Linked DNA regions of Arabidopsis thaliana. The protein of the gene in region 2 interacts with the protein of the main gene of each other region in a pairwise test. Each region holds a gene or a part of one and is shown on either strand. Other genes may lie near its edges. The genes, in order: HAB1, RCAR3 and HAB2.

Evidence for each region.
Region 1: the proteins of RCAR3 (region 2) and HAB1 interact in binary tests that used the Arabidopsis thaliana proteins (3 or more experiments, as listed by UniProt).
Region 3: the proteins of RCAR3 (region 2) and HAB2 interact in binary tests that used the Arabidopsis thaliana proteins (3 or more experiments, as listed by UniProt).

What each region holds. Positions count from the first base shown.
Region 1 is NC_003070.9:27,386,895-27,393,934, forward strand, and holds HAB1 (HYPERSENSITIVE TO ABA1), read left to right. Parts: upstream 1-3,053; 5' UTR 3,054-3,353; intron 3,354-3,744; 5' UTR 3,745-4,103; coding exon 4,104-4,850; intron 4,851-4,961; coding exon 4,962-5,309; intron 5,310-5,393; coding exon 5,394-5,499; coding exon of another isoform or gene 5,500-5,519; exon of another isoform or gene 5,520-5,622; coding exon 5,623-5,957; 3' UTR 5,958-6,433; downstream 6,434-7,040. Other genes in the region: AT1G72760 (Protein kinase superfamily protein), read right to left, coding at 1-40, 123-158, 245-461, 556-741, 830-954, 1,056-1,147, 1,227-1,407. UniProt on the Arabidopsis thaliana protein: Key component and repressor of the abscisic acid (ABA) signaling pathway that regulates numerous ABA responses, such as stomatal closure, seed germination and inhibition of vegetative growth. Confers enhanced sensitivity to drought.
Region 2 is NC_003076.8:21,557,130-21,564,169, forward strand, and holds RCAR3 (regulatory components of ABA receptor 3), read left to right. Parts: upstream 1-3,471; 5' UTR 3,472-3,896; coding exon 3,897-4,034; intron 4,035-4,315; coding exon 4,316-4,531; coding exon of another isoform or gene 4,532-4,611; coding exon 4,612-4,824; 3' UTR 4,825-5,580; downstream 5,581-7,040. Other genes in the region: AT5G53150 (DnaJ heat shock amino-terminal domain protein), read left to right, coding at 1-73; FTSH11 (FTSH protease 11), read right to left, coding at 5,894-6,043, 6,153-6,206, 6,302-6,391, 6,592-6,873, 6,963-7,040. UniProt on the Arabidopsis thaliana protein: Receptor for abscisic acid (ABA) required for ABA-mediated responses such as stomatal closure and germination inhibition.
Region 3 is NC_003070.9:6,031,277-6,038,316, reverse strand, and holds HAB2 (homology to ABI2), read right to left. Parts: upstream 4,048-7,040; 5' UTR 3,401-4,047; coding exon 2,657-3,400; intron 2,459-2,656; coding exon 2,108-2,458; intron 2,013-2,107; coding exon 1,907-2,012; intron 1,713-1,906; coding exon 1,378-1,712; 3' UTR 919-1,377; downstream 1-918. Other genes in the region: HLL (Ribosomal protein L14p/L23e family protein), read left to right, coding at 21-112, 218-682; AT1G17545 (Protein phosphatase 2C family protein), read right to left, coding at 4,409-4,729, 4,808-5,010, 5,193-5,208; AT1G17540 (kinase with adenine nucleotide alpha hydrolases-like domain-containing protein), read left to right, coding at 5,676-5,832, 5,905-6,002, 6,102-6,223, 6,313-6,564, 6,655-6,838, 6,920-6,976. UniProt on the Arabidopsis thaliana protein: Key component and repressor of the abscisic acid (ABA) signaling pathway that regulates numerous ABA responses, such as stomatal closure, seed germination and inhibition of vegetative growth.

The DNA.
Region 1 (7,040 bases), on a different chromosome or scaffold from region 2:
CCAGTCTCAGTCTCCTCACCTCTGCTTCAAGATTTTGATTCTGTCAAAAAGGATAGACCATATCAAATCATGTTGACATTCTGCAAATCCAGGACCAAATTTATGTTCCTGAAAAGCTTTACCTGTTGTTCCACGTAATTTCCGACAAGTGGACTTTCCTGTGCATCAGTATGAAAACCAAGAAGGAAATGTCAGAACACTGAGAAACTGAACATTTATAAGAAAGTGACGATATACTACTAACCGTGGAAGTTGAAGAGATCGAGCTTCCGATGGTAGTGGAACTATCAGAGACGGTGTAAGAACTCACAGTTGATACCATATCACAACTTCCATTGTCAGTCTCTGACTGAGAGATTTCACTCATAGATTGCGGTGTTGAGATGCGAGGTGAATTAGGTTGGAAAAAATTTGAATTTGGTTTGTTGGTTTGTGTAGATACAGGTGATGATATTGATGCGCTGTAAAAAATGTAAACAAAATGAAAAGGCATACTTCACTAAATCCTGTTGAAAAGAAAACCATGGCCAATGGTTAGAAGAGAGTTGAGATTACCTGTCAGAGTCAATGGAGTTTGTTGAGTTGTACAACAAAGAAGAGAGATTTTGTTGTCTGGAAAGTTTATGACGGTGACTCGCGGATCTGCTTTTTAAAAGCTTACCTTTGGTCACAACAAAGACGGCACAAGTCTCTGGAGTCGTCTTAAGCAGAGTGGTTGGTACATCTGGACTCTGAAACTTTCTGATCACAAAGAAAAATTGAATGTTAGCATTTTGTATAACCAAAGTTGAGATGATACCAAGCATGAAACAGAGAAGAGGAGAGAGACTTAAGGAAGGAATTGCGTGCAGATGCGCCAACAACAAGATTTGCAATGTAATAATTGTTGGTGATGTAGTTGACAATAGCATTGGAGATGTCAATATCATGAAGAATAACCTCTTTTGCTATGATCTGAAAAGTGTGTATATACAAGAATGTCATGATCATATTTGATGCATTATAAGTGTGAAATGTTGTTGCAAGGAGATTGGAAATGATCGATTAATACTAACTCCTTTTCGAGCGCAGAATCCTCTGAAAGGAAGAAAGAATTCATGTGCCTCGTCCGGATTGTCCTGATGAAAATGTCCTCCTGTGTCTCCTACTGCAAAACATACTCCTAATTAGGGTGGCTCTTTGACGTTTTGGTTTCAATGATGAAGAGAAGAGCGAGAGATGCTTACGTTGAACGTGGATAAGGACACATTGTGGAGCATCAGCAACAATATTTTCAACGGCCCATTTCAAGGCGTGTTGGCTGTTCTTGTCCTTATCAATGGCGATCGCCGTGATACTGCCATAGTCCTCCGAGGTCCTTCTAACTCTTCTTGCAGACATGTTAGAATCTTGCTTCCCAAGAAACATGAATAACCTGCTTCACAAGGAAACTATAATACTCATAAATGATCTCATGTCTTCTTTGTCACAAAACACCCACAACCAAGATCGATTGTGTTGTTTTTCTTTTGTCTGGCTTTGCAACCTCAGAGAAGAAACAATGAACAATGAAAAGAAACAGAAAATTGTATTGTGAGATGATGAAGCTTTTAGTGGTTTTACAATTTTTCTAATTTTGGAGGGTTTATTTCTCAAACAACTCAACAGTCTTGTGAAACAAACAAACAAGAATGGAAATTTCCACAAGTCTCAACTTATCTTTAATTAGAGAGTGATTTTTGGGAAGTTGCTGGTGAGATCTAGTTTGTACTATAATGTACGCGTTTCGATTAAAATAAAATTCGATTATACATTATCAAAATATTAAATCGATTATTTTATCTTAATCAGTAAAACAAAGTTTTTAGATAAAAATATTAGTAAAACTAGTCAAACATATGGTTTAGTCTTTTAGGTTTATATAGACTAGAGGTTGAACCAAAAAAGAGAGTAAAATAGACTAGAGAATAGAATGTTATGTTTAAACATGATCACACATCTCAATTTACACACATTTACTTAATTTGAGTTTCGATAATAATGCAACAGCAATATATGTATCTACGAATTTGAAATTTATGAGTACAAAATCTAGAGGTGTAACAAAATATTTATTATTTTCGTCCCTGATCAATCAGAGTAGCCACGTGGGCGGGTGGTAGAAATCGAAATTATTGCGATTATTGACTTGGAAAAAAACAAACACACGTTGCATTTTTTGATTTACGTATCCAAAAAGAACAAAGAAAAAAAGGTAAACGACCAAATAATATAATTTTCTGGGGCTGTCGTCTTCCATCTTTATTTCTTCTTGGCGATATCACCATATCTTATACGTCTCTCGAAAGATTATTACTCTTAAGACGATTCCATTAAACACTGATTGTGAGAACTTGTACTTTAACGTTATCGAAAAGTATACATAAATATTTTTATTTTTTTAGGCTGATTCATTCTTACTGATAACAATAATTTTGTGTTATTCTTTCTTACCTAGAGAGTTCTATAGACAAGTTCGTAACTATAAAACCAATCTTTATTTCTTACTCATAGCTTTCAAAACTAAAACTTGATCAGTTTAAATAAAATATATGGGAAATTTTTGCTGAACCAATATATTACGTGTCAAGATTTCATTGATCCTATTAATACAATTTATTCATTTTACAGTTATATCAAATACAAATTACAACTAAGATACTCACTTATCTACACGTCAGATTGTACAACTAAGATACTCACTTATCTATATCTAATTTTCGTGGTTAATATTACATGTCAAAATTTTATGGAAATAATTAGTGTTTTTCTACTTTATATAAATTTTTATGATATATTTTTTTTTTAAAAAAAGGAAAGAGAAAGAAATCAATTTCCATTTGTAAACATATTTTTGGTTCTGAAAATAAATAAATGGGAAAAAAAGGAATTAAATAACATCTGTTGTTGTTAGCTGATCGACAGGTGTTGCCTGAAGCGACCTTAAAAAAAGAAAAAGGACAAAAAGTTGAAGAAAAAAAGAGGACAAAGTTCACAAAATGATACAAAGACTAATACGTGTCCTTTTATTAATCCTCTTTTGTAATAAATACTCTTTTTTCCTATAAATTATATTACAAAACCAAAGAAAAAAAGGAATAAAAAAAAACAGAGAGAAAAAGCAAACCACACAATATTCTCTTCTCTCTCTCTTTGTTTCGCTGATAGAGAGAGCCTCTCTCTAAGCAATTTAGCTCGAGCGAGAAATAATCCTGAGGGAAGAAAATAAAAAGAAGAAGAAGAAGAAGAACATCTTTACTTTTGTTCTCTCTCTCTCTTCTGTTCGATTTTAATTTTTTTGCAGATGCGAATATCTTCTAAAGATTCATCAACTGGTTAGTTCTTTCTCTCTTCTTTTTTCTTTCCTGATTTTTTTATGTTGTTTTTCTGTGTAGTTAGCTTTTCAATCGGAAGATTTTTGCTATTATGTGTCGAATCTCTCTTGTTGTTTTGAGCTTTGTGTTTAGTTTTGCTTAAGAACAAAGTTTAAATTCATCTTTCTATTTCTGGGTAAAGCTAAAGCTTCTTTTTTAATTTAGATCCAAGGAAACCCATGTTCTACTATATGATTATGGACGTTAATGGTTCGAATTTTTTAGGGCTTTCTTGTGATTGATTTCGCTGATTTTCCCTCCTTTTTCTGGTTTTTGTGTGAATTTTCTTTGACATGACCGTTTGGATAATGATTCGTGAGTTTTTGATTAGTGCTTTGTGATCTCTCAATAGGGTTGAAATCAAGATAAGGATTTGAGAAAAGATCGACGAAGTTGTTGCGATTTTGGGATCAAGAGAGTGATATAATCGAGTGAGGAGAATTCGTCGTATAGATTCGTCAGATCTGGTTATCTCCGGTACTTAATTCTCCTTGATTCGTCGTTTTAACTATGCTAAGTTAGTGTATGAATAAAGCGGCATTTGGGTCGCTGACAAAAACTTATTTGGAGCAAGGATTCTTCAACATCATGAAACCATTGCTTAGAGTATTCGAAGAAGAAGATGAAAACAATTGATTTCTCCTAAGTCCATCTTTGAAATTTAAAGCTTTGTTGTGGTGTGGTGTGGAAATCTCTGATTTTGGAGAGCTCATGGAGGAGATGACTCCCGCAGTTGCAATGACTCTTAGCTTAGCAGCCAACACCATGTGTGAATCATCACCTGTCGAGATCACTCAGCTAAAGAACGTTACTGATGCAGCTGACTTGTTATCTGATTCTGAAAATCAAAGCTTTTGCAACGGAGGGACTGAATGCACTATGGAAGATGTTTCTGAACTGGAAGAGGTAGGTGAACAGGATTTGTTGAAAACTTTATCCGATACGAGAAGCGGGTCTTCCAATGTTTTTGATGAAGACGATGTATTGTCTGTTGTGGAGGATAATAGTGCTGTCATAAGTGAGGGCTTGTTAGTTGTTGATGCAGGCTCTGAATTAAGCTTGTCTAATACAGCTATGGAAATAGATAACGGGCGAGTTCTTGCAACCGCGATTATCGTAGGCGAATCAAGCATTGAGCAGGTTCCCACCGCGGAAGTTCTTATCGCGGGTGTAAATCAGGATACCAATACTTCGGAGGTTGTCATTAGATTGCCAGATGAAAATAGTAATCATCTGGTGAAAGGGAGAAGTGTTTATGAACTAGATTGTATACCGCTTTGGGGCACGGTTTCCATTCAAGGGAATAGATCTGAGATGGAGGATGCTTTTGCCGTGTCACCTCATTTTCTGAAACTACCCATCAAAATGCTTATGGGGGACCATGAGGGTATGAGTCCAAGCCTCACACACCTCACCGGTCATTTTTTCGGTGTTTATGATGGTCATGGAGGCCATAAGGTATGCTATATTCACATTTTATGTAAGTTGTTTTAGCAATGTAGATTGTTATACACCTCTTTGAGATGTTCTGGTTAAATTCATAGATTTTAAATCTACAATGGCTTGTAGGTTGCTGACTATTGCCGAGATAGACTCCATTTTGCTTTGGCTGAAGAAATAGAACGTATAAAAGACGAATTATGCAAGAGGAATACAGGAGAGGGTAGGCAGGTGCAGTGGGATAAAGTCTTCACGAGTTGTTTTCTAACTGTCGATGGTGAGATTGAAGGAAAAATTGGTAGAGCCGTTGTTGGTTCTTCTGATAAGGTTCTTGAGGCTGTTGCGTCTGAGACCGTAGGATCAACTGCTGTTGTTGCCTTGGTTTGCTCATCACATATAGTAGTTTCTAACTGCGGTGATTCGAGGGCGGTTTTATTCCGTGGCAAAGAAGCCATGCCCTTGTCAGTTGATCACAAAGTAAAATGAACTTCCTTTTCTTTCCCCAATCTAACTTACAAAGTTGATAAAAGTGTTTTCTTACCTCCTTCCATTTTTCTGCAGCCAGATAGAGAGGATGAATATGCAAGAATAGAAAATGCTGGAGGCAAAGTTATACAATGGCAAGGCGCACGTGTTTTTGGTGTTCTCGCCATGTCTAGGTCCATCGGTAAGCATTGCTTCTTTTGATGACCAGTAATGCACATCACACAAACGTGGCTTGATAATGTAATTACTCCCCTACATGAAACATTAGATCCTCCGGTTTCTTTCCTCCTCTGGAACTATGCAGGTGACAGATATCTGAAGCCATATGTGATCCCAGAACCGGAAGTGACATTCATGCCTCGGTCAAGAGAAGACGAGTGTCTCATACTAGCCAGTGACGGTCTTTGGGATGTAATGAACAACCAAGAAGTCTGCGAAATAGCAAGGAGACGGATATTGATGTGGCACAAGAAGAACGGTGCACCGCCTCTAGCAGAGAGAGGCAAAGGAATAGATCCAGCTTGCCAAGCCGCAGCTGACTACCTCTCAATGCTTGCTCTACAAAAAGGAAGTAAAGACAACATCTCCATCATTGTGATTGACTTGAAAGCTCAAAGAAAGTTCAAGACCAGAACCTGAAGCTTAATTACAAGCAGTACGCTTACTTACTTTTTTTTTTACTGGGGGTAAGTTTCGAGTTTTCGTATAATTTAGATCGTTAAGGATCTAATTTCGACAGGTTTTTACATGTTAATTACTCAATATTGTTAGAAGGGAGAAAAAATAAAGAAAAAAAATGGAAATGCGGGTTGGGGAGGAGAAGTAAAGACTAAAGACTGAAGATTAAGAAGATGATGCATAGCTAATTATAAGTACATTCCTTTTTTTCTCATGGTACTTGAATTCGTATGTATAAGAAGAAATAGGCAGAGAAATGCTTTTTTTTTTTGGGGTATTGAAATAGTTGAATATGTTGTAATAGTTTGAGAGATGTGGCAAATGAAATTGTAATTGAAACTATGTCACATTAACCTTCTTGCATTTGTCTTTTCATGTTGTGTTCTTCGCTGTTCTATAACTTAACGGTGAGATGAGAGTTTATTGGGGGTTTAACCACAGGTCGATTTTTATTTTGATGTTAAGTATTGATAAAGCAATACACTTAGCAAAAGGTGGACGTGCCGGAGTGGTTATCGGGCATGACTAGAAATCATGTGGGCTTTGCCCGCGCAGGTTCGAATCCTGCCGTTCACGTTTTTCATTTTTTTTTCTGTTATCATCACATTTTCCATAACTTACCTTAATCATCTAACATTTTAGAGTCTTTACGAAATGTTAATATTTCTTTTCTTAAATTGAGTAGAAATAGAAATCAACCTCATACCTACAAATGTGGAAGTGACGTGTGAAACCGTAAGTGTATTTAAATCAAACTTAGAAAGCTGTTAATCATTGGCACCACATAAAATCTAGCTTGTGAGAGAAAGTTTATCGTTTTTAGATAAGTTATCAAGATAACAAGACTTGATTAGATTATAGTATGTTGCCTTTGACGGTTTGGCCTGGCCATTTGTAAAAGCCACGACAACACCGGCTCTCATATAATTATTAAAAGACTAATTAGTAATCACGGCCTCAGCTTCACATAGAAAACGTGTTTATTAACACGTTAGACATATGATTCCGTTGAACAATTTTGATTATTTGACGTACCAATCTGTA
Region 2 (7,040 bases):
TGAAGCTTTGAAAGAGAATGAGGAAAGTGAAGCTGTGAAAGAGAATGAAGAAGTGGGTATGGATCTAGATTAGGGGGGTATGAAGGTAGTAGCAGTCAGTACAGTGTACAATGGAGGAAGAAACATATCGTATCATCTCATTAGGGCACAGGACTAATCAATGTCAGGTCTGATCTTTTGCTTTTTTCTATTTTTTCTTTCTTTTGTTTAAGGTTGACCCAGAAAGTAGCCATATTTTGGCATAAGAAACTATCTATACCGGAAAAATTAACCTGAGTATTTCGAATATTTTTTGGGGGGGTCAATGTACAATCTTTTTTGGTATTTTGGTATTTACTCAATAGACCAGAAAGAATCTTGTAAGAACTCAGTTTGGGATTCGAATATATATATGGTGGTTATGGTTATTTGTTACTTTTTTTATCTTTGAAGCATTCATTTTGAAGTTCATTGTCATGTTTAGTGAATTTGGTGGTTGTGAATTTGTGATTGGCCAAACCGGTCCATTTTGAGACCAGCCCATTTAAGCATGCACCGACTTGGTCCTTGTTTTAGAATTTGTGCCTCATATATGCAACTGATATCTCTCAATCTGGTTAAGTTTGTTTCTTGTCAGCGTCTTCTTATCATTTACTTAGGCATCAAACTTTTGTCGGCATGCCATTGTGTTTGAGTAAGAGGCCAACTTTGATATTTCAAGATAAATTTGTGCCTCCTATATGCAACTGAGATCTCTGTTTCAAAGCTACAACGTTCTCTGTTTTCGTAAAAAGGACTTTAACAGCGAACTTTTAGAAATTGTAGACTAGTAGTGAGAAATTTTTGACTCACATCATCTTTTTCTCATGTATCTGAATAAAGAAGAAGTGTGAGATTTTGATTCATAAGCCATTAATGGTGTTCACGTTTCTATAGCTGAAATGGTCAAAAACAAAAGATAGATGCAACACATGATCCTCACTTGTCTCTTTATTATGAGTTTAATTTTTTTCTTTCTATTCTCATCTCTTCCACACCTTTTGTTTGTAGGTCCACTTCTCTCTCTCTTTTTCTCATCTTCTTTAATATATTTAATTGGATAATACTATTTCTATATATATAATCGTCGTTGTCATACTATTTATACTAATATCGACACATGAAGTGAATCTAAACATTCCCACTTTACAAAGGTGATTGTCCTTTTACATCCAATCAATCGACTTACTATTTATGAGATACTCACTTCTTTGTCCTTAATGTAAGATATTAAGGCTCTTGAGTGATAGAAATCAAACAAGTGTTTTGGTTGTTTTGTTTATGCTAATGAATGAAGTATGGTCTATGTTGATTGAAAGGATAATATCTAAGTATAGATATTTCATGGTGGTAATGTCTAAACTTGAAATGATGGATTTATATAACTTTATATATGCAACCAGCAAGCAAACAAGAGCATATACATAAAGTTATTTATTAGCAGAGAGCTTCCTATTTGCTCAGAGAGTCATCAGTCTTACATGCCAATGATGTCAGGCACTGAGAGTCGGGTTGCAAATGGAAGGCAAACTCAACACCTTCCTTGACCACACTCAAAATCTCCGATATACATTCCTGAGAGCCCACCTGCAAGCTCCAAGCCCAATCTTAAAAAGAAACTATGGGTATCCAATTTTTTTTTTTTGTGTACTTTAATCTTGAGGTAGTAGTATTTTCGAGAATACTTTAGCACGTTACAAAGTTAGCAACGAATTTTCTTTTTCTAGATATGACTTATAAGAGCCAAACCTTTTTATGTTATAGAAATCTTTGTCACTTTGAGATACTTTTATTCAGGATTTAATAAAGAGTGTTGGATAAAGCACGTGGGACCTTTTGCTCTCTCGAGATTGGCTCTTCGAGTCAGGAAAAGTTAAGACTGTGAAGCAAACCCTATATATGATACTGTATACAATATATTTTTTGGATAAAGGATTGTGTAAATTAAATGATCAAACTATATACTTACTATTCTGGCCTTAGTGGTTATAAGATACTAATATTATACTGTAAATGATCAAAACAAGATACTATTGTCAGAATGCGAAAAAATAAAGCGAAGTCCAACTTAATAGTTTACGAACTTTTACTTCATATTATGAGTCGAATGAGAGTGAATACTGGAATTGGTGATGATGCAGAAAACCGGATTAGACGAAACAAAGAGAACATAATACAAATCATTGGTATGGAACTGACAAAACGTACGAAACAATCGATGTTAAATGGTTAGAATAAAATTTGGATGATAACCATAATAACTGCAGTGCATGTATAATCATTAAATTTTAGCTATTTTTAATACTTGGAATAATAGATGTTTACTATTTTTATCATATACCTAAAGAAGTTCTTGTAATTTGTACTTAGTACCTGATTTGTCGTTCTAATCCTAAAAAAAGATTTGGTCCTTTGTAGTTTGCTTCAAAGGCCCCGAATCTGCATTGATCATGGTCTGGCTCGGGGGTGTTAAGCACACTTTTAACTAGTGATTATATGTCTAATTGGGACATCAATATACCTCCATGCACCTAGTAATGTGACCATCCGTATAATATGTGTACTATCTCTTCTTCAGCTAAAGGTTAACGAGCATAATCTGGTTAAGCCCTATGTTTGGTTTGCATTATAACAATCTCTCTGAAATTTTGTAGTATTTTCATCAATTTAAATTAGTATATTTTCGACAATTTGAATTGTTCTTTGAGTCTGATCACAGTCAAGTACACGAACTATATGCTGATCTGATCGAATTCATTCTACTATATACACACACATACACAAACATTTTACAGTACACCACTAATACTATAATCCCAATAACAAGAAAACCTAAAATATAAGTACACATTAACAAAAGAAAACAGTTTGCAAGTTATTAAGTGGTTTTTGGATTTGGTTTATAGTTTTTAGATTTTTGCATTAATTATATATATATATATATATATATATATATATATATATATATATATATATATTTGAAACTAAATATGAAAAAGTTATAGCGTTAAAAAGTGAAAAACCAATGAAACATAGATTTTAGATTTCCTTTAAAAATCTAGATTCCTTATTTTTATAAGGAAAACCATTTCTCCCAATCTTAATTGGCTATAAAGTAGATTTTTGGAAAAAACTTAAGCCATAAACAATTTCAAAAAATCTATAACCATTTCAAAATCTTTAATCCTTTTTTTTTTTTGTCAAAACAAGTCTTTTATCCAAATGAAAAAGCACCCAAGAAAAAAAAAAAAAAAACTATCCAATAATTGAGTCAGCTCTCATAGGCTTAAACAATACTTTAAGGATCAACATTAAATAATTACCACACTTGAGGGGTAAAACTAAAAACGGTAAATAAAACACAGAAAAACGACAACGAGGGGCAAAATCGAAAATAAAGAGAAAATAGTGGGATAATAGAAGAAAGCATCCAATGAGAGTAGTGAAATCAGAGAAAGACCTTTACTCCTTTAGTCCAATACCATCCAATCAATCTTTTTCTTTTTTTTTATAAAAATCTCTCACTGAGTCTTTTTATTTAAATATTATAAAAAGGAGAGAGAAAAAAAGTTTGTTGGAGGATTCGTCTCTCTCTCTCTCTCTTTCTCTTTCTCTCATCTTCTTCTTATCTCCCTCCAAAGACGGCGACTGTATAATCTATCATTTCTTCACAGTAACGCTTTCATCGGAAGATCTCGCCGGAAAAAAACTTCTCTCTGAGATCAGATCTCTTACGATTCTCAGCTCAATCTTATCTTTTCCTTTGTTGTGCTGCTTTTCACTCTCTTCTGCGCGACGAATTTGGCCTTGTTTTTTGTTTGTTTGTCGTATCCGACGCGGAGGTATTGAGAAACCGTGGCTTAAGACGGAGGAAGAAGATGGAAGCTAACGGGATTGAGAACTTGACGAATCCGAATCAGGAAAGAGAGTTTATAAGGAGACATCATAAGCATGAGCTTGTGGATAATCAGTGTAGCTCTACGCTTGTTAAACATATCAACGCTCCTGTTCATATTGTAAGCTTCTCCCTTCTTCTTCTTCCTTCATGCGCTCTGATTTTCTCTGTTTAAGTTAATCGGTTCTTCTTATTGTTGATTCAATCCAGAATTTGAAATCTCTCTCTATTTTCATCGATTGTTGATCTTACTGATGAAGAATCGATTGGTTTCTAATTATTGAAAGCTTACATAGCATTTGTGTAATCCCAATCTGAGTTTGTTTGATCTGGTTTTGCTTTATTGGAAAAAAAAGCTCCCAAAAACGCTTATGGATTAGTTTGAATCTCTCTGGTGAATAGGTGTGGTCACTTGTGAGAAGATTTGATCAGCCACAGAAGTATAAGCCGTTTATCAGTAGATGTGTGGTGAAAGGAAACATGGAGATTGGTACAGTAAGAGAAGTTGATGTGAAATCTGGACTACCAGCAACTAGAAGCACTGAGAGATTGGAGTTACTTGATGACAATGAGCATATTCTCAGTATCAGAATCGTTGGTGGTGATCATAGACTTAAGGTAATCAATGAATCAAAAGGTTCGTTTTCTGTTTACAGTGAATCAAAGACTTATATGTTCTATATTGTTTTTGGATTTAGAACTATTCTTCAATCATCTCTCTTCACCCCGAGACTATAGAAGGAAGAATAGGAACACTTGTGATTGAGTCATTTGTGGTTGATGTACCAGAAGGAAACACAAAGGATGAGACTTGTTACTTTGTTGAAGCTTTAATCAAATGCAATCTTAAATCTTTAGCTGATATCTCTGAACGTCTTGCGGTTCAAGACACGACAGAATCGAGAGTCTAAAGATCAAAGGAGTAAGAAACTATTGAATCAGAGAGATTTTGGTTGCCATGGATGAAGCTCTCAAAGGGAAAAAGAGAGAGTGGGTGAGTTTCTTTGAGGATGGACAAGGCAAAAAAAGTATCATCATTTATCCAGTTACATAATAAGTTTCTCATTTGCTATTTTTGGGGTCATTTCACTTTCAAACCCTCTTTTTAATTTCATGTGTCTAATTTAATGAATGTGTTTTTGGTTTCTTCTCTATAGAACCAAAATATGATTTTGGAGTTTAGCTTTAGCAACTTGCAGGAATCTTTTTACAATTTGCAGAGAAGACATGTTAAAAGTGTGTGTGATCATGGGGTTCCACTCTCTTCTTCCTTTTTTAACACTTTTAGTTGCACCCATAAAGGCCACACACCGTCTTTCTTATATTTATTTTTTCTACTTTTAAAGATGAACCAATAGGGTTTGTGAGATGTGAAAAATCTCCACAAAGGACCATTAAGGAAAGAGATCTTTGTTGTTGTTTATAGATTTTGTCTTGACTTGTGATTGGGGAAACACACTTTAGCTCCATTAGCTGTAAAAAGTTTTGTATACTATTTTTACAATGCCAAAGTGTTTCTGTTTCTTTTTTCCTAAATTACAGTAGTGGATAAATATTCGAATCGGTCACATTGACAGGTGGTATCATTAGAATTGCTTCTATATGTTTTCTTTCAATTTTGTTCCAAACAATACATGTAATTTCATCAGAGGACCTTGTAAGCTGCAATAAGATTCATTGGCTTTCAAAATCACATCAGAGAATAAAGACAACAATTATTACTTTCTTTTCAATGTTGTTTTACATTTTTCTTCATAGAATTGAACAGAATGTCAAAAAGGGCAAAAGGTTCAAGGTCGAAGCGAAAACTAATGAGCTAATGAAATAAAAACTACAATAATTTTGTAACATGAGATCAATAATTTCATATGTTTTTCTTTTGGTTGTTGTTGTAGAAGCTATGGGAGATTTACTCTGTACAAAGCTTTGAATCTCCCTTTTTCACCCAAAGAAGTGTGTTTATGGTAATGAATGATGTGATTAGGCCAATACCAAGTCTCCTTCTTCTTGTTGTTGCTCTTCAAATTTCTCGCCTTCCTGCTTTGGAAGGAGAATACGCTTTATGTCCTCTGCGGTTAGCGTTTCATACTCTAGAAGTGCGTTTGCTAACGTGTGTAGCTGCTTCTCATGCTGGGGAAACACACACACACACACACACACACACACACACAAAATCGAAGTGAGATTAAACAATTTTGATCCAGTAAAAAATGCGACTATCTGTAAACTTGGCACAAACCCGTTTCAAGAGAGATTTCACTCTCTCATATGCTTCTCTAAGAAGCTTCACAACCTATACATGTATCAACACCACCAGATGAATGATTAGATTTAGGACCAATGGGATTTGAATGAGGGAACTAAAAAAAGTGAATAGAGAGTCTCTACCTCGGCATCAATGCGTGATTGCATATCAGAGCTTGGTCTTTCTTTTATATGAACTGGTCCTATTGCCTCACTCATCCCACAACTCGATACCTTCCATTAAAAAGAAAAGCATTACTACAACTACAACAAGAGGTAAGATCCATCTTCTCGCATTAACTTGTAAGTTCACCTTAAGGATCTCAGAGACTAAGTCCCTCAAACCTCATTCCAGAAAACTAAAAGAACCAAAGGCTAACTCTTTTGATAAACCAGAAAAAAAGAAGCAATTAAGCACATGTACATGAGGTTACCATGTATTGTGCAAGTTCAGTGGCCTGTGACAGATCGCTACTCGCTCCAGTGGTAATATGGTCCAAGCCAAAGATGAGCTCCTCTGCAACTCTTCCTCCCATACATACATCGAGACGAGCTAATAACTGCCTCTTGCTCACTGATGTTTCATCGTTTGAAGGTAACTGTGTAACCATTCCCAATGCAGATCCACGTGGCATTATAGTCGCTTTGTGGATCGGGTGCGCACCTTTCGTATTTAAAGCGACAATAGCATGACCACTCTCATGGTATGCAGTGAGCTAAAGAGGCAAAGAAGTAAGTGACAGGTCATATCATGTTTGAACTCCACATCCAAACACTTCTATGTTGTTAAGATATTGGAATATACCTTTTTTGAGTCCTCTGATACGAACATTGTCTTCCTCTCTGTGCCCATGACAATTCGGTCCTTTGCGAATTCCAACTG
Region 3 (7,040 bases), on a different chromosome or scaffold from region 2:
TTCATCGACAATATGAGTAGGACGTTCATTGCTTGGAGGTCTTTGCAATGCTTTCTCTGGTTTGATGAATTCCTCCTCCAATGGAATGATGAATGGAAGCATCCTCTCTCAGGTCAAGCCTCTTTTCGCAAATATACGTCCTTGATGAAACTTTCTTCATATGCATTCGTGGGGTATAACCTGTGAATTGTGTGTCCTGATGATTTCCAATTCACAGCAACAACATAGGACATTCATTCAAATGGGGACGATTCTCAAATGCGTGGATAACTCGTGTGCTAAAGAGGTGATGTGCATTCAATCCCTGAGAGGTAAGAAAGGAGCAAGACTTGGCGATATCATTGTTGGTTCAGTGAAAGAAGCTAACCCAATTGTTCAAAAAAAAGTAAAGAAAGACGCTATCCCAAAAGGTAAAGTGAAGAAAGGGATGGTCGTGTACGGTGTGGTTGTGCGTGCTGCGATGCCTAAAGGACGTGCTGATGGAAGCCAAGTCAAGTTTGATGACAATGCCATTGTAGTTGTTGGCATTAAGGAAAAGAAAGGGCAGAATAATTCACATGGTTCCAAGAGGAAAATGGAGTACAACCAACCGACTGGTACCCGAGTGTTTGGTCCTGTCCCGCACGAGATGCGCCTCAGGAAACAGCTCAAGATCCTTTCTTTGGCTCAGCACATTGTTTGAGACAATACACCACACTAAAACATCAGTTATGATCTCCTTTATGTGACTCTCTTTGATCCATTCATCACTTGGGTTTCTGTTGATTCTTCAACTATCCAACTCATTATTTTTGTTAATTCTAATGAATTATGAAACCTTAACGTACCAATTATGATCTCTTATTTAGGTTTCTTTTAATTGTTAAACTCTACTCTCTTAGTAAAAAAAGCAGGGGAAATAGCTTTAAACAACCATCCTTCTCCAAACCCTTCACTTAGTTTTCATGTTTGATACAGCATCCCTCATTAAACACTTTGGAATCAATATTACCTGTTGTATAACAATAACAATAGAAAAGACAATAATAACTCTTTCACAACAAGTATTTATATATAATAGATTACAGAAAAGTATTAAGGTGAATGTGACATAAATTTCAGTTACAATTCCTTAAGCCACATCTCCAATATTACAACAACATATCCACCTACAAGACTCCAAAGTAAAAACATTTCTTCTCTATTCTTCTTATACATAACAAACATACACATTCAAGTCCATGAGAAAAAGGAATGGACTTCAGCTATGCATCAAGGTCTTAATTCTTCTTCCCCCCAACATTTCACTTCTTATTTTTATGTAAACTTGTGGAAATTTTTTCAATAAATAAGAAATAATAAAATTATAATAGTGTAAGAGCTCGAGCATACACTGTTTCAAGATCTGGTCTTGAACTTTCTTTGAGCTTTCAAGTCGATCACTATGATTGAGATATTGTCTTTGCTTCCCATTTGAATAGCGAGTTTGGAGAGATATTCAGCCGCAGCTTGACACGCTTGGTCTTCTCCTACACCTCTCTCAGCTAAAGGCAATGCTCCATTCTTCTTGTGCCAAGCCAAGATCCGCCTCCTCGCAAAATCGCAAGCTTCTTGGTTACTCATTACGTCCCAAAGTCCATCACTGGCCAATATTAGACACTCGTCTTCTCTAGCTCGTGGCATAAACGTCACTTCGGGATCTGGTATTACAAATGGCTCCAGATATTGATCACCTGAAAACGATGCAGATTGAAACCCACTTTCAGGAGATCTCATGATTTTGCAGAGACTGTAACAGGTAGTAATGATCCTCATCTCTAAATAAGGTTACTGAATGTTTAATTTATCGATAATTTTGACCTATAAAACTCTCTTCATATTTCTGTCACTAGGCAAGATGGAAGACATAAGTGCAAGTTTGACCTACCGATGGACCTGGACATGGCAAGAACGCCAGAAACACGAGCGCCTTGCCATTGTATAACTTTTCCTCCAGCTTTCTCTATTCGTGCATACTCATCCTCTCTATCTGGCTGCAGAGAAAGGGTAAGAAATTTCATGAATTAGAAATAAGAAACTTTCTCAGATTGTGTTAAATTATTTTAGAGGGAAAGAGAAGATTTTTTACTTTGTGATCAACTGATAAAGGCATGGAGTCTTTGCCTCGGAGTAAAACTGCTCTTGAGTCACCACAGTTTGAGACTATTATATGCGATGAACAAACCAAAGCAACCACAGCAGTCGATCCAACGGTTTCAGGGGAAACAGCTTCAAGAACCATCCTATCAGAAGAACCAACAACAGGTCTGTTGATTTTCCCTTTAACCTCATCATCGACTTTTAGGTAACAATCTACAAAGACTTTCTCCCACTGGACCTGCCTACCCTCGCCAGTGTTCCTCCTACACAATTCCTCTTTAATCCGTTCGATTTCTTCAGCCAAAGCAGAGTGGATTCTATCATGGCAATAGTCAGCAACCTGCAAGAATCCGATTTCCACCAAAGCCGTCATATATTACATAACAACCTGCAAAGAATCCCGTTTCCAGCAAACCCTTTATCATATATACATACAACCTACGTCAACAAAACATAAACTCATGTATCTTCCGGGTTCATAGTTGAATTAACTTTCTACTGCTAAAATCAGTATAAGGATTTACGAACTACAGCATACCTGAGCGCCTCCGTGGCCATCATATACACCAAAGAAGTGACTAGTGAGATATGGGAGACTTGGACTCATCCCTTCATGATCCCCCATAAGCATTTTGATGGGTATTTTGAGAAAATGAGGTAAAGCTCTAACAGCATCCTCCATTTCAGATCTTCCACCGCAAATTGAAATCGTGCCCCAAAGAGGTATACACTCTAGTTCATAAACACTCCTGCTTCCTCTTGCTACATTAGGATTTTCTTCAGGTAACCTAATGACTACCTCAGAAGTTGCCACCTCCATATTCACATCGTGATTCAGACTCGCAATAAGGACTTCTGCAGTGGGAACCTGTTCTATGGTTGTCTCGTTTAGGATAATGGCCGTAGCAAGAACTCGCCCGTTATCAGTTTCAACTGTATCTGGCAAACTTATCTCAGACCTAGCGTCCACAACTATTAAACCTTCGCTAATAATAGTCGCATCAGATACTAATGGCTCATCTTCTTCTGATTCCTGGACAGTTACACTAAAATCAGAAGACAAACTTCTCACTTCAGATAAAGTCTTCTCTTCTGAAACACTTCCCATAATACAATCCACCACTCCATTACTATATCTTTGTCTTTTCTGATTACACAACATGTCAGCTGCATCAGTAACATTCTCCAGCTCGGAGATATCGAAAGTAGATGAGATTCCAGAGTCACACATCGTATTAGCTAAACCCAAAGTAAGTGCAACTGCAGGTGAAATCTCTTCCATGAGCTGGTATGCAGCTTCCAAACCTCAACTGGAGCAAAACGATTCAAAAAACTTCATTTTCTTCTCTAAGCTATAGTCTGATGAACTCTACATCCAATTCAGCTTCCCACCGAGACCCACCAGCCGTTTATTCTCACCAACTAATCCAGAAAGCAGTGAATGACGAAGAAGTATGTACCTCCGCTGAACAGATCTGACGGATCTATGAAGACGGATCCTTTGTGAATTCGTGGGATTTTGATCACTCTAACGATCCTCTATAACTCTTGATCTTCATCGAATCAGAAAGACAATAAACTCACACAAACCCTAATTTAGAAACCCACAAAAAAAAAATCAGCCTTTTTCAGATAGATCACACAAGAGAGCAGAGAGAAGACACAAAGGTGAAAACTTTATCCAAAACAAAAACAAAAGTCAGGTGAAATTGAAGAGAAGGGACAACAAACAGAGAGAATTGATATCAATCAGCGAAATGAATCACAAAACACACAGAAAAACCTAAAAAAGTCGAAACCTTTATCTCTCTTATCTTTCCAAAACGAAACGAAACATGGGTTCTCCTGGATCTAATGAGGTTTTTACCCAAAAAATAAAATTAGAAAAATTATAAGCACTCCACGGAATCCCAAGTTTCTTTATGTGACAACGACCTTCATTATTAACACGTTGCTCCAATCAATTATAAAACTAATTTATTAATCTATTCAATAATGGCAACATAGATGACGCGTGTCCTTCCCTCTTAAAGGTCAAGTCTTCTGTTTATTCTTCTAATTTAGTTTTTTGATCCAAGATTGAAAGTATGTTCATGACATATGTTCATGCATCTCATGACACATGTAGTGTTATCATAACGTGGTTAAAAAATAGACAACGAAAGACTTTTCTCGGAGACCAAAGTTTGAAATGGGCCTACATTAAGGCCCAGTCAGCGTCACTTATATGGGCTCTAGCGTCCACTTGTTTACATTAAGGTAAGAAACTTCATTAGCTCTGTCTCAGCTTTTATACTTTCTGATCAACTGATAAAGGCATGGATTCTTTGCCGCGGAGTAAAACCACTCTTGAACCACCACAGTTGGAAACTATGATATGTGATGAGCAAACCAAAGCAACAACAGCAGTTGATCCGACGGTCTCAGGGGAAACAGCCTGAAGAACCATCCTATCATCAGAAGAAACAGAACCAGAAACAGGTCTGCTTCTTCTGTGGCCATCATAAATTCCGAAGAAGTGACTAGTGAGACATGTGAGCGTTGGACTTATTATCCCTTCATGATCACACATAAGCATTCTGATAGGTAGTTTGAAAAATGAGATAAAGCTCTAACAGCATCCTCCATTTCACCGCAGATTGACACAGTGCCCCAAAGAGGTATACACTCTAGCTCATAGACACTCCACCTCCTTCCTCTTTGCTACATTATCATGATGACTTGTAGTAATAAGGACTTGTGTTGTGGGAACCGCATCATCATTCAGGATAATGGACGTAGCAAGAACTCGCCCATGATCCTCTATTCCACTTCCATTGTAGCGTCCACAACTATTATTAAATTCCACACTCGCTTGTACACGGCTGTTTGTTATACGAAAATCATTATTAGCTATATATTATATACTCCATATGGTTTCTTTGAAATATCAAAGGTCCTCCTCATCAGCGACATGAATCACACACAAAAGACAAAGTCCTTCAAACTCAAACCCTTTTGCCCTTTCAAAACCAAACAGGTTACCCCAAGATATTTAACACGTTCGTCGAAACAATTATAAAACTAATTTCAACCTTTGGATTTCCTCATGGTCTTCTTCTTTCTTCTAAAAGATCAAGACTGCCTATAATTCCAAATTTATCTAGTTTACATATATATCAATATAAGATGCCATTACACAAATCTAAAAATAAAAAATCCTCTTTTTGTCTACAAGATATGATATGGAATATCCTTTAAAGATAAGTCGTCAACTAAAATTAAAAAAATCCTCTTTTTGTCTGCCTCTCTGTTCGTTATGACTGTTTAGATTGTTGGAGAAAAGAAAAACCTTCTAATTTTAGCAAAGTGCCAAAACCATTATAAGTTTAAATTTTCTCAACAAACAAAACAGCTCTCCTCTCCTCTTCTCTTCTTAATTCCTTGTTATCATTTTCATTATCATTCGGTCTCCTTATTTCCTCCTTCTGAGGGTAATTGAAAGACCGTACCACAATGTCTTTCTAGTTTCTCCAGAAGCAAAAGTTTCCAGCAATCATCTCGAGGGCTGAGAAACAATGGCTGCAAGAAGACTCAAAGGAAAAGACAGCAAAGCAGTTACCGCCATAGCCATTGATAAAGATAAGAACAGCCAACACGCTTTGAAATGGGCTGTTGAGAATATCATCATCGATTCTCCAAACTGTATCCTTCTCCATGTTCAAACCAAACTGAGTACGTAATGGCATCATCATCATCATCATCATTGTTATCAATCCATCAATCTAATGAAAACTCTTGAAACAGGATTTGGGGCAGGAGAAAACACAGAAGCACCACATGACAACCAAGAAGAGGCGCATCAGTTCTTCCTTCCCTTTAGAGGATTCTGTGCTCGGAAAGGGGTCAGATATCAACCTCTCTTTCTCCTTACAACAATCACATATATATATATATATACACATAGCTCTCACCGACCTCATTAATTATATATTTTCTCTCAGATTATAGCAACGGAGGTTCTTCTTCACGATATTGACATCTCGAGTGCAATTGTTGACTACATCACCAACAATTCCATTTCAAATATAGTCATTGGAGCCTCTGCTCGAAATTCTTTCCTCAAGTCTCTTTCTTTCTCTCATATAACCTAAACTGTAATCTTAATCTGAATGCTAAATCCTATAACTCTCTGTGATTTATGGTCTTAATCAGGAAGTTTAAGAGCGTAGATGTGCCAACGACTCTGCTTAAAACAACACCAGATACATGTGCTGTCTTCATTGTGTCTAAAGGGAAGCTCTTAACAAGCAGATCAGCGAGTCGGCCTCAGACACCTCAAGGTCCTCACACGCCTCAAGGTCCTCAGACACCTCAAGCTCCTCAACACCCTCCTCATCCTTCAAAACATCCCTCAATGATGTCTGATCCTGGCCCAACAAGTTCCACTTCCAGTGAATCCGGAAGGTAATTAATGAACTCAAATTTTATCCGGTTGTCTTGTGAATGAATGCCTTTTTTGCTTCATAGTAGTCATTGGGTTTGCCAATCTTGCAGGTCATCTCCTGCATTGAACGGAGAATTATCTCCACCTACACCTCATTACAAGCCATCTTTGTATAGGAGTTCTATGTCAGAGCTTAGTAATGAATTTCCCAGCGATCACAGTGCTGAATCAAATGCTAGCTTCTACAGCATCCTAGGACGATCCACATATGGAGGAAGCTCACACTCTTCCATGGTTAGTATTCCCATCACGTTTCAAATCGATATTCTTACCACCTATTTGCCTGGCGTTGACATTTTTTTTTCGAATCTGTAGTCTGAGATAACTGATGGAGAGGAAAGCTTATCTGGGGGCAATATCACTGAACACCAGGTAAAATTAATGTTTCAGAAAAGTAGATATAGTGTTTCGGTTATGCTGAGTGTCAGATGCATGA